2 linked regions of the Saccharomyces cerevisiae S288C genome follow. The gene in region 2 interacts genetically with the main gene of each other region. Each region holds a gene or a part of one and is shown on either strand. Other genes may lie near its edges.

What was found. A genetic interaction does not mean that the proteins touch.
Region 1: mutations in XRS2 (region 2) and SEN1 are lethal when combined (synthetic lethality), as found in Saccharomyces cerevisiae (2 studies listed by BioGRID, with this or other methods).

What each region holds. Positions count from the first base shown.
Region 1 is NC_001144.5:991,206-999,542, reverse strand, and holds the start of SEN1 (DNA/RNA helicase SEN1), read right to left. Parts: upstream 6,110-8,337; coding exon 1-6,109. Other genes in the region: CRN1 (coronin), read right to left, coding at 6,811-8,337. UniProt on the Saccharomyces cerevisiae protein: ATP-dependent 5'->3' DNA/RNA helicase required for the expression and maturation of diverse classes of non-protein-coding RNAs like precursor tRNAs, rRNAs and small nuclear (snRNA) and nucleolar (snoRNA) RNAs.
Region 2 is NC_001136.10:1,214,358-1,219,401, reverse strand, and holds XRS2 (Xrs2p), read left to right. Parts: upstream 1-1,821; coding exon 1,822-4,386; downstream 4,387-5,044. Other genes in the region: DXO1 (Dxo1p), read left to right, coding at 292-1,620; trifunctional aldehyde reductase/carbonyl reductase (NADPH)/glucose 1-dehydrogenase (NADP(+)) YPR1, read right to left, coding at 4,560-5,044. UniProt on the Saccharomyces cerevisiae protein: Component of the MRN complex, which plays a central role in double-strand break (DSB) repair, DNA recombination, maintenance of telomere integrity and meiosis.

The sequences.
Region 1 (8,337 bases), on a different chromosome or scaffold from region 2:
CCTTCAAACCTAACTGCTTTTCCTTCAATACAGAGGATAAACTTCTGGTCACTTTAATTTCAGGTTCGTCATTTCTTGGTATGAAACTAACATCATCCGAAAAACAAACGTGTTTGTTATTTTTCTTTTTACCAACAACTGCTGCTGCCTTTTTGTTGCTGTCCACATCAGGAAAAGTTTTAGGAACTACGGCACTCGGTACACTCATTCCACCAAAAATGGATGACTTTTTCTTTGTACCAGATGAGGTGCTGGGCGATTCTGCCTTCTTGTTATTCTTTTTCTTATCATCTGCCTTGGACTTTTTCTTTTCCTTCTTCTTCTCTTTCTTCTTTTTCTTTACAGCTTTATCTGCCTCTTCACCTTCATCGACAACTCTTCTCTTCTTTGTGTCCTTATTGGATTTTACCTCATCGGGGCCTTGCGTAATATATTCCATGGGTAGCTTATAATCATCTTCTTGCTCTGATGGTACGGGTACATTGAACTTTCTTAAAATACTTTGAGCTCTATTATTTCTGGGATCCAGGAAACCCGAGCAAGCATATGCAAGACAACTTCTATCTTTTGCATCTTCAATCAAATCTCTCCATAACTTGCTTTTAGCCAGAGACCTTTGATGTCCCAAAACCCAAATACTTGTCTTGGCTCTAGTCAGAGCCACATTCATACGACGAAAGTCCTTTAAAAAACCGACACTAGATTTCGTATCATCGGCACGGACACACGATATCAAGATGATTTCTTTTTCTTGACCTTGGAAACCGTCGATTGTATTGAAATCGATTGATTTGTTGATCATGCCTCCAAAATAGCGGGCAAACTCTTTACGCATTTTTTGCATTTGCTCTCTATAAGGTGAAATTATACCGATTTTTCCCGTGAAATCAATTTTATTATCGAATTTTCTGAAAAGGTAGTCAACTAACTCAATGGCAACACGTATTTCCTCCATATTTGTATAAGACATAGTCTTCGCATTTTGTTCTTGCCTACCACTAATGATGTCAAAAAATTTGTAGGGAGCTAATGGCTCAAGCTGGTGCCAGGGTCTTTTGTTCAAGATATCCATACCAGGGCCGTCTTTTAGTCGTCCCTGATAAAATTCAGAAGAGGGGAATTTACTGATGGAAGGATGCATACGGTATTGAACATCCAGCAAGTATGGGGAGCTATTTTTCTCCATTCTAACGAACAGTGACTGATTGTATTTAAAATTGCTTGCTGCACCTGAAAGAACAGTTGGTGGTAGTTGGTTAGGATCACCAACCATAATACAACGCTTCCCTCCATACCTGAGAGGAATAATTGAAGAAAGTTCGGTACATTGACATGCTTCATCTATAATGACCGTATCAAATTTAATACCCATTGTTGCGAGTACATCATGGGCTGAACCAGATAAAGTCGAACATATGATGTCACTAACCGCCAAGATATGGGCCTGTGCATTCCTTCTATCCAAATCCCTATTCCTATAATTTACGGAATTCTTCTCACGCATTTCGTCCCTATCACGGCCAAGTTCATTGATTATTTTACTTAGCTCCCTAATCTTAAGTTGTAATTTACTGATATCTTCGGTTGACATTGGACTTTCTGGATTACCACTCTCAGAGTCTAATTTTCCTCTCAATTCTCTTCTTTTAGTCACAGCATTATTAAATTTACGTTCTAGTTCCGGATCTGTTCTGATTTCGTAATTCCTTTCACCTATCCTTTTATCCACAAGTTCTTCTAAAGTAAGGTCCTTAATTGCAACGTTTACAACGTCTGACCTACCTACACGGACCAATTGAGGTTTAAATTGATGCCCCTGCTTGTCATACACTCCACTCTTCAGTCTGAGGCAGATTTCGTCCACAGCGGCATTACTGGGGGCACAGATTAGAATTTTTTGCTTTTTTAACAGTTGTTCAGTATTCGATGAGTTCTTTTCTAGTGGCACTTTGATGACATTTGAAGATGAGGCATTCTTTGTAGACAAAAAGTAACCAATAATACCCAGTATAGTCTTTGTTTTACCCGTACCAGGTGGACCCTGAATTAAAGAAAAACCTTCTTTAGATACCGAATTAACGATGGCCTCAGCCTGCGACGTATTGAGCTTATAGCTTTTCTTAACTGTTTCAATTTCTGCCGCATCCACATTTACGGGAGGCGATGGTTTAGCCTGTAGAATTTGGCCAACTAAGTCATAGTATTCCAGCCCTTCCAGTGTTGAATACTCTCTTTCAATAGTCGTCATTTGCATAACCTTCACACAATATATCTCTGATCTTAGTGTCAAAAATTTACTGAAAGAATGATTTCTATGAATTCGTAATGTGACATCAACATTACCACCTTTGGTATTTTTCAATGTTCTCACCTTTGCTAAACATGTATGTTGTGCTTTCTTGAAATCATCACTGGACAACCTTTTGTCTGGTCGAAAATCGGGTAAATAAGCCATTACAATTAAGTCAGATTCAGAAATACCACAATCCTGTATGACTTGTTTAGCGACAGAGGCATACACATCATAGAAATCTGACACAGCAGTTCGATTTCCTACAATAATACTGAAAGGTTTATAGTCCTCTCTATCACGTGAAGAACATAGACCTTGCCAAGATTCTAGAAGTAGTAAAGGCTTCATGACTTTTTGGTAGTCAGCAGGAGAGTTGAAGAAATCCTTTACGTCAGAATAATTACCAATAGGCTCATCATCAGGATATTCACTATTTCTGGTGTAATCCCATTGCAATATGATTTCATATAGAGGGTTCATATCAACATTTAATCTCTTTCTCATATGTTCTAACTCCTGTTTAGCCAATTCAGCCGCAGTTTGTCTCTTGACAACCTTACCATTAATATCGACAGTTTGTATTCCTTTGCCTTTTGCCTTAGCAATAGCAAAAAGCTCCCGAGCGCTTTCTATATCGTTGTCACTCTCCTCACTACTGCTATCGTCGTTTTTGTTAGACAAACCCCTACTCTTTGTATGGAAAGCTGGCGCACTAGGTGGATGAACAACTCTGTTGTTTAATAATTGCATCCTAGCTAATTCCATTTTGGATAAAGGCTTAACAGGTTTTGTACGATGCAGTTTAGCATTAGCTGATGATTGGAACGTACCAAAAGATGTTATTTTAGGCTGAGCTACTCTTGGTCTCCCAGTTATTGAAGAAGATAAAGCTTTTCTTTGTAAATAGTCTGCCCTGGATTCAGCAGAAGAACTAGCAATGGTTGAAGACAGAGAGGGCGAGAGGGATGGTGACGCCGGCACAGAATCCGTTAAGTCGATCACCTTCCCAAGTCTTGATAATTCCTTTTCTTTTCTGTAGTTTTCAGCTTCTGTAGCGACCTCTTCCGTGAGTGCTTTATTGAATATTTTAGCCTTTTGTAGAATCTCACTCGCCTGTTGCTCCGTCAACTTATTTGAAAATCTCTTTGCCTTCGAGGCGTACTTGGCCATCATTTCTACCAAGGAATCATCCACTTTCACATGCTTTTCATGTGCTAAATCAGACGTGCTTATAATTAATCTAACACAAGATTCCAAAAGTACTTCGTCGCTCAATCTCAGCCAATACAACATATTCTTAAAGGTTTCTAAAACGTTGAGAAGTAAATTTTTCGTTTGGTCATGAAGAATATCTGAAAATTCTCTAAAGGAGTCCACCAAAGAGCGACTTAGATCTAAAGTATCTTTGGTGAAATTTTCCAGTTCAGAATAGTCATATTTAGAAGCCCATTTCAAAGTAAACTTATAAATCGTATCCAAGAATAACCAACATGATTCCCAGAATTTTAAAAATTCCTTTTCGGTATTTTGGCTCTTCAAAGTTTGGAAATTAGCAAACACACCAGAAATCGGGTCTACAAATGCACTCACTACGTCCATCAAAACACGAACAGCACGGGGGCAAGGCTCATAGAATTCACAATTGATTAATCTTTGTAGCATCACGTTTATATTCTTCAAGTTAACGGTCAAATTACTATTCAGAATCGCTAAGATACCTTCCAGTCTACCCTCAACGTCAAATGTATTGTATAAAATATTAGTAGCTGCTTGATACAAGTGTTTATCAGAGGAGAATATGCAGGACCAAAAACCCTGCGATGCATCTTCATCCGCAAGGATTTTAGACAGTTGACCGGGCAAAATATCCGCAAATTTTTCCATTAATCTCGTTGATAGCAGCAAAAACTTCTGATTCAATGCGTTGTGTGCCTCAGCTACGGCAGTATTTGACGGTACTATCAAAAGACCATTAATATTTTTTAAAGATACTAGCAGCTGTTTGGCCAGCAATGGACCGTCATGAAAAGATCTCAGGTCAATTTTATTTGTAACATTTTCCAAGACGTTGGTTGAAATTGGAATTTCGCTAATTGGTTTACCTGAATAAAGCTTAAACGTTCGATGACATAATAACAGTATATCAAAATCGATACATTCTGCCAATACCATCATCGTGGATGTGGCCACCGATGCAGAAGCAGCACCTAGCCCAGGATAAAAGTCGTTAGGATTCGAAGCTGATCTAATTATTATGTCTTGGATCAAAGGATTGTTGAGCAAAGCTCTAGAATCTGTTTTAGTCAACAGTACTGTTTCAAATTCATCATTCTTATAAAGCATTGCCCTTTCATTTTCCTTAATAGTCAACACAGCCCTCAACAAGGCAGTTGCTGAATTCATTAAACAAGCTTTGGGAATGGATTTTAGGGATGGATAATTGGCTATTATACGCAGGAACGCCATTGAGACCTTTCTAACCATTTGAATTCTTTTGGATGGTGACAGTGCATGATAAAATGGTAAGGTCCAAGAAAGTAAATCGGTTACAGAACCGGTAAGTTGAAAGTAAACTTCTGTTTGATGCTCAACAATTGGATTGTCTTGAATTTTGATTAGTTTGATTGGGAATGAATCTCTATTGAAAATTATATCCAAAATGCTATGGAATGTGAAGGGTTCAATTTTGGACCAAAACTCGGAGCCAAATTTATTCAAGAACATTGTTAATCCTCTTAACAAAAAGTCTAGTGGCTTATCATGATATGATTTGCTTAAGTGATTGTACCACATTTTAAAAATTGGCTCTAACGGAAATTTGAATGTTTTTTTTAAAGATTCCACATTTTTTGGGACCTGAAAGTACTCTATGAAGACGTCTTTATCAAATAAATTGAAAACCGGTAGTAATCTCGACCAGAATTGAGATACCACAATCTCTGTCCAGTTTGCCGGATTCTGTAAGAATAAAATATGGATATAAACTTCCTCAATAATATCCGGTGTCAGGTTAGAAAGATTTATATGGAAATTTCTTGAGTATAAATCCTTTAGAAAAGCTCGTGACCACTCATTTTCCTCTTTTGAACCTTCACACCAGCAAAATATGACACCTGATATAAAGGTTTTTATGCTTAATGGATTCGTAACGTCCAACAAACGATGCTTTGTGTCGTAGAAAAATTTGAAGATTGCTTCGAAAGTAGCCTTAAGTTGCTTGTTAAGCCTCAACATATGCGGATTACAGAGACACTCGTACATTGCAGTTTCAATTTCATTTGTAATGTTAATTCCCGTATTATCGTTAACGGAAATATTTCTAAGAATAGGAAAAACAGCCTCCACCCTCCATTGGCATACGATGTCATTAAACTTGGCTACATGTTCATGCGGCACATGTCTTTGAATGGCAAAATGTTGTAACATTTTGCACTTCCCTCTCGCAAAATTTAGAATGCATTTATCACAAACAGAGAGAATTGGATTAAAATGATTCTTCAGCCATGTGGCCGTAGCTTCTTCATTGAATGAGAAAATGGTTAGGGAAAAAATTGATATTGGTTCAAGTATGGGGTCGCAAAATAAATGCGTACCCTTGGGAACTTCTGCTAGAACTTGTAATAACTCCCCTAATAATTTTGCCTCTTGAATATTTGGATTTGTGCCTTGATAAACTTGTTCAATCTGAGGAATGTAAGACTTTGCCTTGGTATAGACGGTAGCTAGCTGAACATCGCTATTGGGGGCAATATCCTTATCCTTATTATTATTATTAATGTTGTTGCTATTATTATTATCAGGATTGTTGGAATTCATTTATAATAAACAGATGCGCTTTTTTATATATATAGAGATAGATGCCATACAGAGATGAAGTAGAAAATAAATGACAAAGTAGAGCTTTTTTGTAGGTGTAGATGATAAGATTAAAGTGCGGGAAGCCTTTAAAGTGATCGATTATTCGTTCCTATGAAGCTTCGTAAACTTTTCTAGTAGGTTAATATGCAGGAGAAATGACCTACACTAGAGAAGAATGAGAAAATGAAAGCTCTATAACTTTGAAACAAAAGGAATAAAGTTGCAAACGTGCACCTACAAAATAAACCTAACCAATGACCTTTTGTTAGAATTCCTGATCTCATCAACTTCTAACTTGTGGTTAATTTTTCAAGATCCTAAAATATGCGAAGAAAAATATAAATAAAAATTCATTCAGGGTTACCTTTACTATGTAACGCGTTTTAACTAAAAGAAAGACTTATTTATGCTTGCATAAAACTATATGATGAGGACAATTATACATTGGTCACATAACGCTTAGTGTTTTGTCAAAAACATTCTTTTTCCTGTGGGAAAGCAACATTTTGTTTCCTTTTTTGTTAGTGGACAGGTGAACATGATTCACTTTCTAAGTGCATTATTATCGCCGCCGTCTTATGTACATTACATATAATCAAAATACATCTTTCCTATAAAAAGGACTCACTTAATTTTATCATTAAAAGTACAAAAAATTTTCATTTTGACAGTTCGCCAATTTTTTGTTCCAACTTTAACAGGCGCTCATCTTTGTCAAGATTTGCTTTCGTTAATTTATCAACTACATCTTCTAATTGCAGAACCAATGTAGATAGTTTTTCGACAGACTTTTTTAAACCCAATGACTTAGGTGATGTCCTTGCCGCGGATGGCTCTTCCTTACTGCTGGCAGTAATGGCTGTCTTAGCAGCCGTAATTGAAGAAGGAGGTGTTGCGGATTTTTCCTGCTCAGGGGACTTTGTTTTCTCAGAGGACTTCTCTTCTTGAGGTAAGCTTTGCTCCTGTTTTCTATCTGTTGCGATAGACACTGGCTCTGGCTTCAATTCTTTTGAAGGTTCGACCTTAGGTGTGCGATCCTTTTTAGTTTCTGTTGGAGTGACTGGGGTTTCGATTTTGATAGGAGCTGGCTCATCATCGGCTTCTTCCCATCCGGAGGTATCCCTAGACGGATCTTCGGCGTTGTTAACTTGATCAATATCGGAGGATTTCTTCAACAACTTGTTGATCGAATTATCTTCCTTTAATACATGGTTGATTGTAGAAGATGAGGAGGCCGACTTTAGCGGTGAGGGAGATTTTGGAGCTTCTTGTTTCACCTCCTTTTCGGATTCGCTGATTGGCTTCTCCACTTTAGGCTGCTCCTTTTTCTCTTCAAGAGCTGTTTCTTGAGTTGTTGGCTGTTGAGGTCTTTTAGCCTCATGAAAGCTTGGTGCGGAACCGTCATAGATAGATCTCATACTAACGAGAATTGGACCTTCAACAGACTTGCCAGAAAACCACTCTTCAGCAGTTAAAGCTGGCTTATTGGAAGGTGCATCCGGGTAGATATCTTCTTGGAACTCCTCTGATCTCCTTGGAACAAAGAAAGATACCGGTTCGATACGCTGATCAACGACAGTCTTGAAACCTTTTAAGACTTCGTTTTCTTTGACGTTCACCATTCGCTTAGGCGCTACAGCAAAGCCTCTCTGTGCTTCTGTGGATTGGAATTCAGACAACTCAAACAGCTCGTCGTTTTGAAATTCGTAGTATCGAATATTACCATCACCTTTCCCCACCAAGTAAAGAATCTTATTCCCTTCGTCATAAAAGGGCATCAAAATACCTGATGATTGGTCGACAGTGTAGAAGCCTCCCAAATCTCCCTTTTCAATGTTGAAGGCATCCCAAATACCGATTTGACGATCACTCAATTTTGAAAAACCAGTAGTAGCCAATCTGTCAGAGTTTCCTAACCATACCACCCTTTGGTTTTTTGCACCCGTATGGGCAGGCCCTTCGCTAACAATTTTTTCTTCTCTGATATTCCAGACTCGTAGTTTCTTATCTCGAGCCACTGTGGCAAGATAATTACCATCATACGAAAATGACATGGATGTGACCATATCTGGATGTTTCAAAGTAATCATGTCCTTTCCAGTTTCCACATTCCATAATTTAACAGTATAGTCACCTGAAGAGGATGCTAATACATTCTCAGCGACGGGATGATAAAGAACATGTCC
Region 2 (5,044 bases):
TGTATCGTCTACTTATAGAGGTTGTTAGTACCAACCTGCAAATACAATTGTTGGACCATACTACCACAAAAGGTTCTTTTCGTTGGTGTATCCTCACAAATAATGATTATTCCACCAAAATCACCAAATTATTGTGTCAAACTAACTGGGATTACCCCACTATTGATTTTTCCAGTTTTTCCGCAATTTTCGCAGCATGTTTTACTTTTATAATGGCATTGTTGCATTACAGCGCCAGTTGTAGGTATCGATGATTTTATGTCAAAGTTTTCTTTCTAGCCAAACTCAGTTATGTCAACTGAACAAGATGCTGTTCTTGGATTGGCCAAAGATTTAGAAGGTATAAATTTGCTTACTGTGCCCAATCTCGAGAGAGGACACCAAAGTAAATTATGCAAAGAGAAAACTACTTCTGATTCATCTTCGTCAAGGAAGCCTTCACAACAGAGAGACAATTATAGAAAGAGACGTCCGAAACTTATATGTATCCCATATACGTCTTTTCTGCATACTGGTATGCACAATTTTTTGACGAAACCACCAAGAGATATATTTCATGAAAGTAAAGAAGTAGCTCTGTTTACCAATGGCCGGGCTTATACAATCCTACGCAAAGACCTTATACCAAATTTGAAAGAAAGTATTGCTGAATTGTATGAAAGCTCGCTTCTTGAGGCAAAAAAGCGGAAAGTCCCGTATTTAGGCCATGACTTATTTGCTAATATTGATGAGTTCGTTCCCATGACAATATCCGAATTAGATAGTGTATCACCGTGTTTTTCATACATTGAGAACTGGATACTAGATAATCCTGGTAAGGATTTTAAGATCGGCAAGAAATTTACTGTTGTAACCACAAGACATCATATCGTAGATTTGACTATGCATCTCTTTAACAGGCGAAATAGACAAACGTCACTAATTGTAACTTATATGGGGGCGGGCCTTCTTTCATTTTGCAGAAATGTAAAAAAAGATTCTCAAATGTCCAAAGAGGGCATTTATTCAAATGATCCAAATATGAAGAAAATTTGCTATTCAGGATTTGAATTTGAAAATTGGGTAACCGAAAATTCCAAAGTCGCTGATTTAACTGGCTCTAAATGTCCTATTTTTTCTCTTGTAGAGAGTAAACTTTCAGAAGAAATTGGTCTTTTAATTCGCTGCGAAATGGATGCATTCAATCCTGTTTCGGAGACAAACACAGAACTAAAGTGTTTTGCCCCATTATCAATGCACAATTCCAATCATAGGAGAAAACTTCTGAAAACGTGGGTACAGACGGGTTTATTACCGAACTCAGATATCATGATAGGTTTGAGGGACAGTCATAGCGGTCAATTACTAGACATTCAATGGTACTCAAGGGACTTATTATGTAAGAAATTCAATCACCCAGGTCTACCTACAAATAAAAAGGAACTTAACTATAATGCCCAAATTGCGGTAGAATGGTGTCATTATTGTATTGAAGCAATTTGTAAGCTGGTGGAGGCAAATATCTCTGACTATAGCAGTACAAAACCAGAATCATTTGAAATCGGTATAGATACTAACAACGCCATCGTCATCACTAAACTTAAGACTACTCCAAGAAACGTAGAATTATTTGGAATGTAGAGACGTGTATAATATATAATACTTTTCCGAGAAATATTTCATTTTCATTTTCGTAAAGTTGTTAACTACGCTAAATATTAGTACTTTTCTTAAATTTATATGGGGAGCCCTTTTTTTCTATGAAAAGCAATGCGTAAACCAAATAAGCAGAATTTTGTAATAGATGAGCAACAATACTGAGAAGGTGATAACTATAAATTTATGTGGGTAGTACGATACCAGAATACATTGGAAGATGGCTCTATTAGCTTTATATCATGTTGTCTTCAGGCCTTCAAAACTTATAGTATAGGTAGATCAAGTAAAAACCCACTGATAATTAAAAATGATAAAAGTATTTCCAGACAGCATATCACATTCAAATGGGAAATCAATAATAGTTCGGATCTGAAACACAGTAGCCTGTGTTTAGTTAACAAGGGTAAATTGACATCATTAAATAAAAAATTCATGAAAGTTGGCGAAACATTTACTATTAATGCCTCGGACGTTTTAAAGTCCACAATAATTGAACTGGGTACAACTCCTATTCGTATAGAGTTCGAATGGATAAATGAAGTCTGGAACATTCCTCCTCATTTGACACAATTCAGGACGATGCTTTCTGAATATGGTATCTCCACTGAGATTTCTATTAATGATATTCCCGCTAATCTGATGATTAGCGATTACCCAAAGAGCGAGGACAACAGCATACGGGAATTGTATGCCCTTGTTAGTACTATACCCATGAAAAAATCACGGTTTCTGATGGAATTGTGTAATACTCTTCTTCCCACATCTAAAACTAATTTAAAATTTGATGAAATGTGGAACGATATGATTAGTAATCCGGAGTACAATGTTTTTGATTTTGATCCAAATATTTTGCTTTCGAAGTTTATGAGGCTGAATAATATCAGAGTGTTAACTACTATCAAAAGTGAACCACGTCTATCATCTCTCCTGCGGACGTTCAATATAAATTTATTTGCATTTGACAACATTGATAGTTTATATAAATATGTTGACAGCTTGGAAGCATCAACAGAATACCTGATTTTGACAACTACAGATAAGAAAGAAAATGGGAAAATTCTATGTACTATCAAAACGATGTTAACATCAATAATAGATGGCACCTTAAGCGCAGTGATTAATATGAAGGGTGCATCTTCAAGAACTCTAGATAACGGTAAATTTGATCAAATTTCTGAAGGAATGTCTACTATTTTGAAAACATCTCGTGCACCTGAAGTTGAAGCTAGTCCAGTAGTCTCGAAGAAGCGAAAATTAAATAGACGTAGAGTACTACCACTCGATAGTCTTGATTTTTTTGCTGGAGGTTTGAGTACTAAGACTCTATCAGAAAATAGGTCTTTAACTGACGCTAAGAGACTTAATTGTGGCGCAGAATCAAAGACTGTCATTTCAAGTCCCAACATTGCAGAGGCAGATGAAAAGCACGCCCCATTTCTTCAAAACGCACTAAAGCCGACTGAAGATATTGGAAAGAAAAGTGGTCACAGTAGCCCTGGTGCTATAATTGTCAGTAGCCCCAACTTAGGTACTGTGAACACGAGTGAGGATTCGTTGGATAAGTCGCTACAGTCACATAAGTTACCACAGCCGTCATTGCCGGAGGTAGCAGGGATTGGCTCTCAAACCATATCTTCGAACTCCGCTGACTATGAAACAGCTGCTGTGAATTCGATGGATGATGCTGAAGTTACTAAGAATTTTAGGGTGAATCATCACCAGAATATAGAGCAACCCTCTAAAAACATCCGTAAACTTTCTAATTATTCACGAGAAATTTCATCTCCATTACAAGAAAATTGTAAGTCACCTGTAAAAGAGTTATCTATTAAAGAGAAATCTGGTACGCCGCACGCATTTGTTGAAGCTATTCAAGAAACTAAAAATAGAGAGGTCAAAAGAGTTAAGTCAACCATTGTTGAATTGAAGGATGAGGAGTTGAGCGAGGAAGCTATTAATCAGCTAAAAAATTTGGCTATTGTAGAACCTAGTAACAATTTACTGAGGAAATCATTTGATAGTGAGGGAAACAAAACAAGCAGAACAACTGAAAAATGGGAAAATAGCCTAATGGAGCCAGAATGGCATAAACGCAAGAATTTCAAGACTTTTGTCAAGGTACGTCCAAAATCAAAGGCGCACAAAGAAGAGGGTAAAAATAACACTCAAAGCTCAGATTTTATACGAAATGCAGCCTTTTTAATCACTAGAAATTATGTTCCGTTAAAAAAATACTCCAAAAAGGATACAACTACAAAATGGGGCACAGAAGAAAACGAAGATATGTTTGCTTTGACGGAGATGGAAAGATTTGGATCGAATACATTTATGTCCGATAATATAAACTCAAACACTATCCAGAAAAGATCTCAAGCTCTAAACAGATTCACGAATGAGGATAGTTCAAATGAAGGAGAAGAAGATTCGTTTTCTTTTTCTCGTTGTTCAGGTACTGCAGCCAGCGTTCAACCACTAAAAAACAAAATTTTTATTACTGATGAAGATGATCTGGGTGATATTGATGATAAAAGCGATAGACTAAATCACAGAGAAAATAATCGTAATCTTTTTGTGGTGAAGGAAATGAACTTACGGCCAAACTTGTCAGAAGAATGTTCCAAGCAAAGTAGACACAGTAGAAGCGCAACTAGTAGATCACGTGGCTCTTTTGGGGCTTCTAATAACGGTGATGGCGACGACGACGATGACGACGGTCCGAAGTTTACGTTCAAAAGAAGAAAAGGATAATGATAAATTTTCCGAGTATTTCCAATTTCATTAAATTATATTTTGCATTATCATTCGATATATGTGTATATATTATATGAAAATTAGTAAAATCAATGTTTGTTTCAGCTGTATCGGATCGGTTTAAAGAAGCACTACAGGTTGCTGGAGGCATTAACTGTAATGTAGCGCGCTCATTGGAAAATTGGGAAGGATCCCCACTTCATATCAACGACTCTCTTTGTACCATGCACTTTGGATAGGTTACTAATAGTCTTGAAATCATCCTCAGGCAGAGTGAAAATCTTAAAATTGGATACAATTCTTTCAGGATTAACCGATTTGGCCAGAACAACGTAGCCTCTTTGAATACTCCAACTGATAATAAGCTGTGCTGGCTCAACGCCGTGCTTTTTAGCCATATCAATAATTGCTTGCTCTTTTAGTAAAGGAGCATTAGCACTCCCAAATGGTGAGTAGGCTTCAACAACAATACCCTTTTCCTTACAAAAGGCAATCAATTCGTCTTGTGGTAGCAATGGATGAATTTCAATTTGATTAGTAGCTGGTACCACCTTGTTATTTGGAGATTCTAATAATTCTTTAATGTTGTTAATAGAAAAATTAGAGACACCAACGGCTTTAGTTTTGCCCGTCTTTGGCAACTCTTGCATCAACT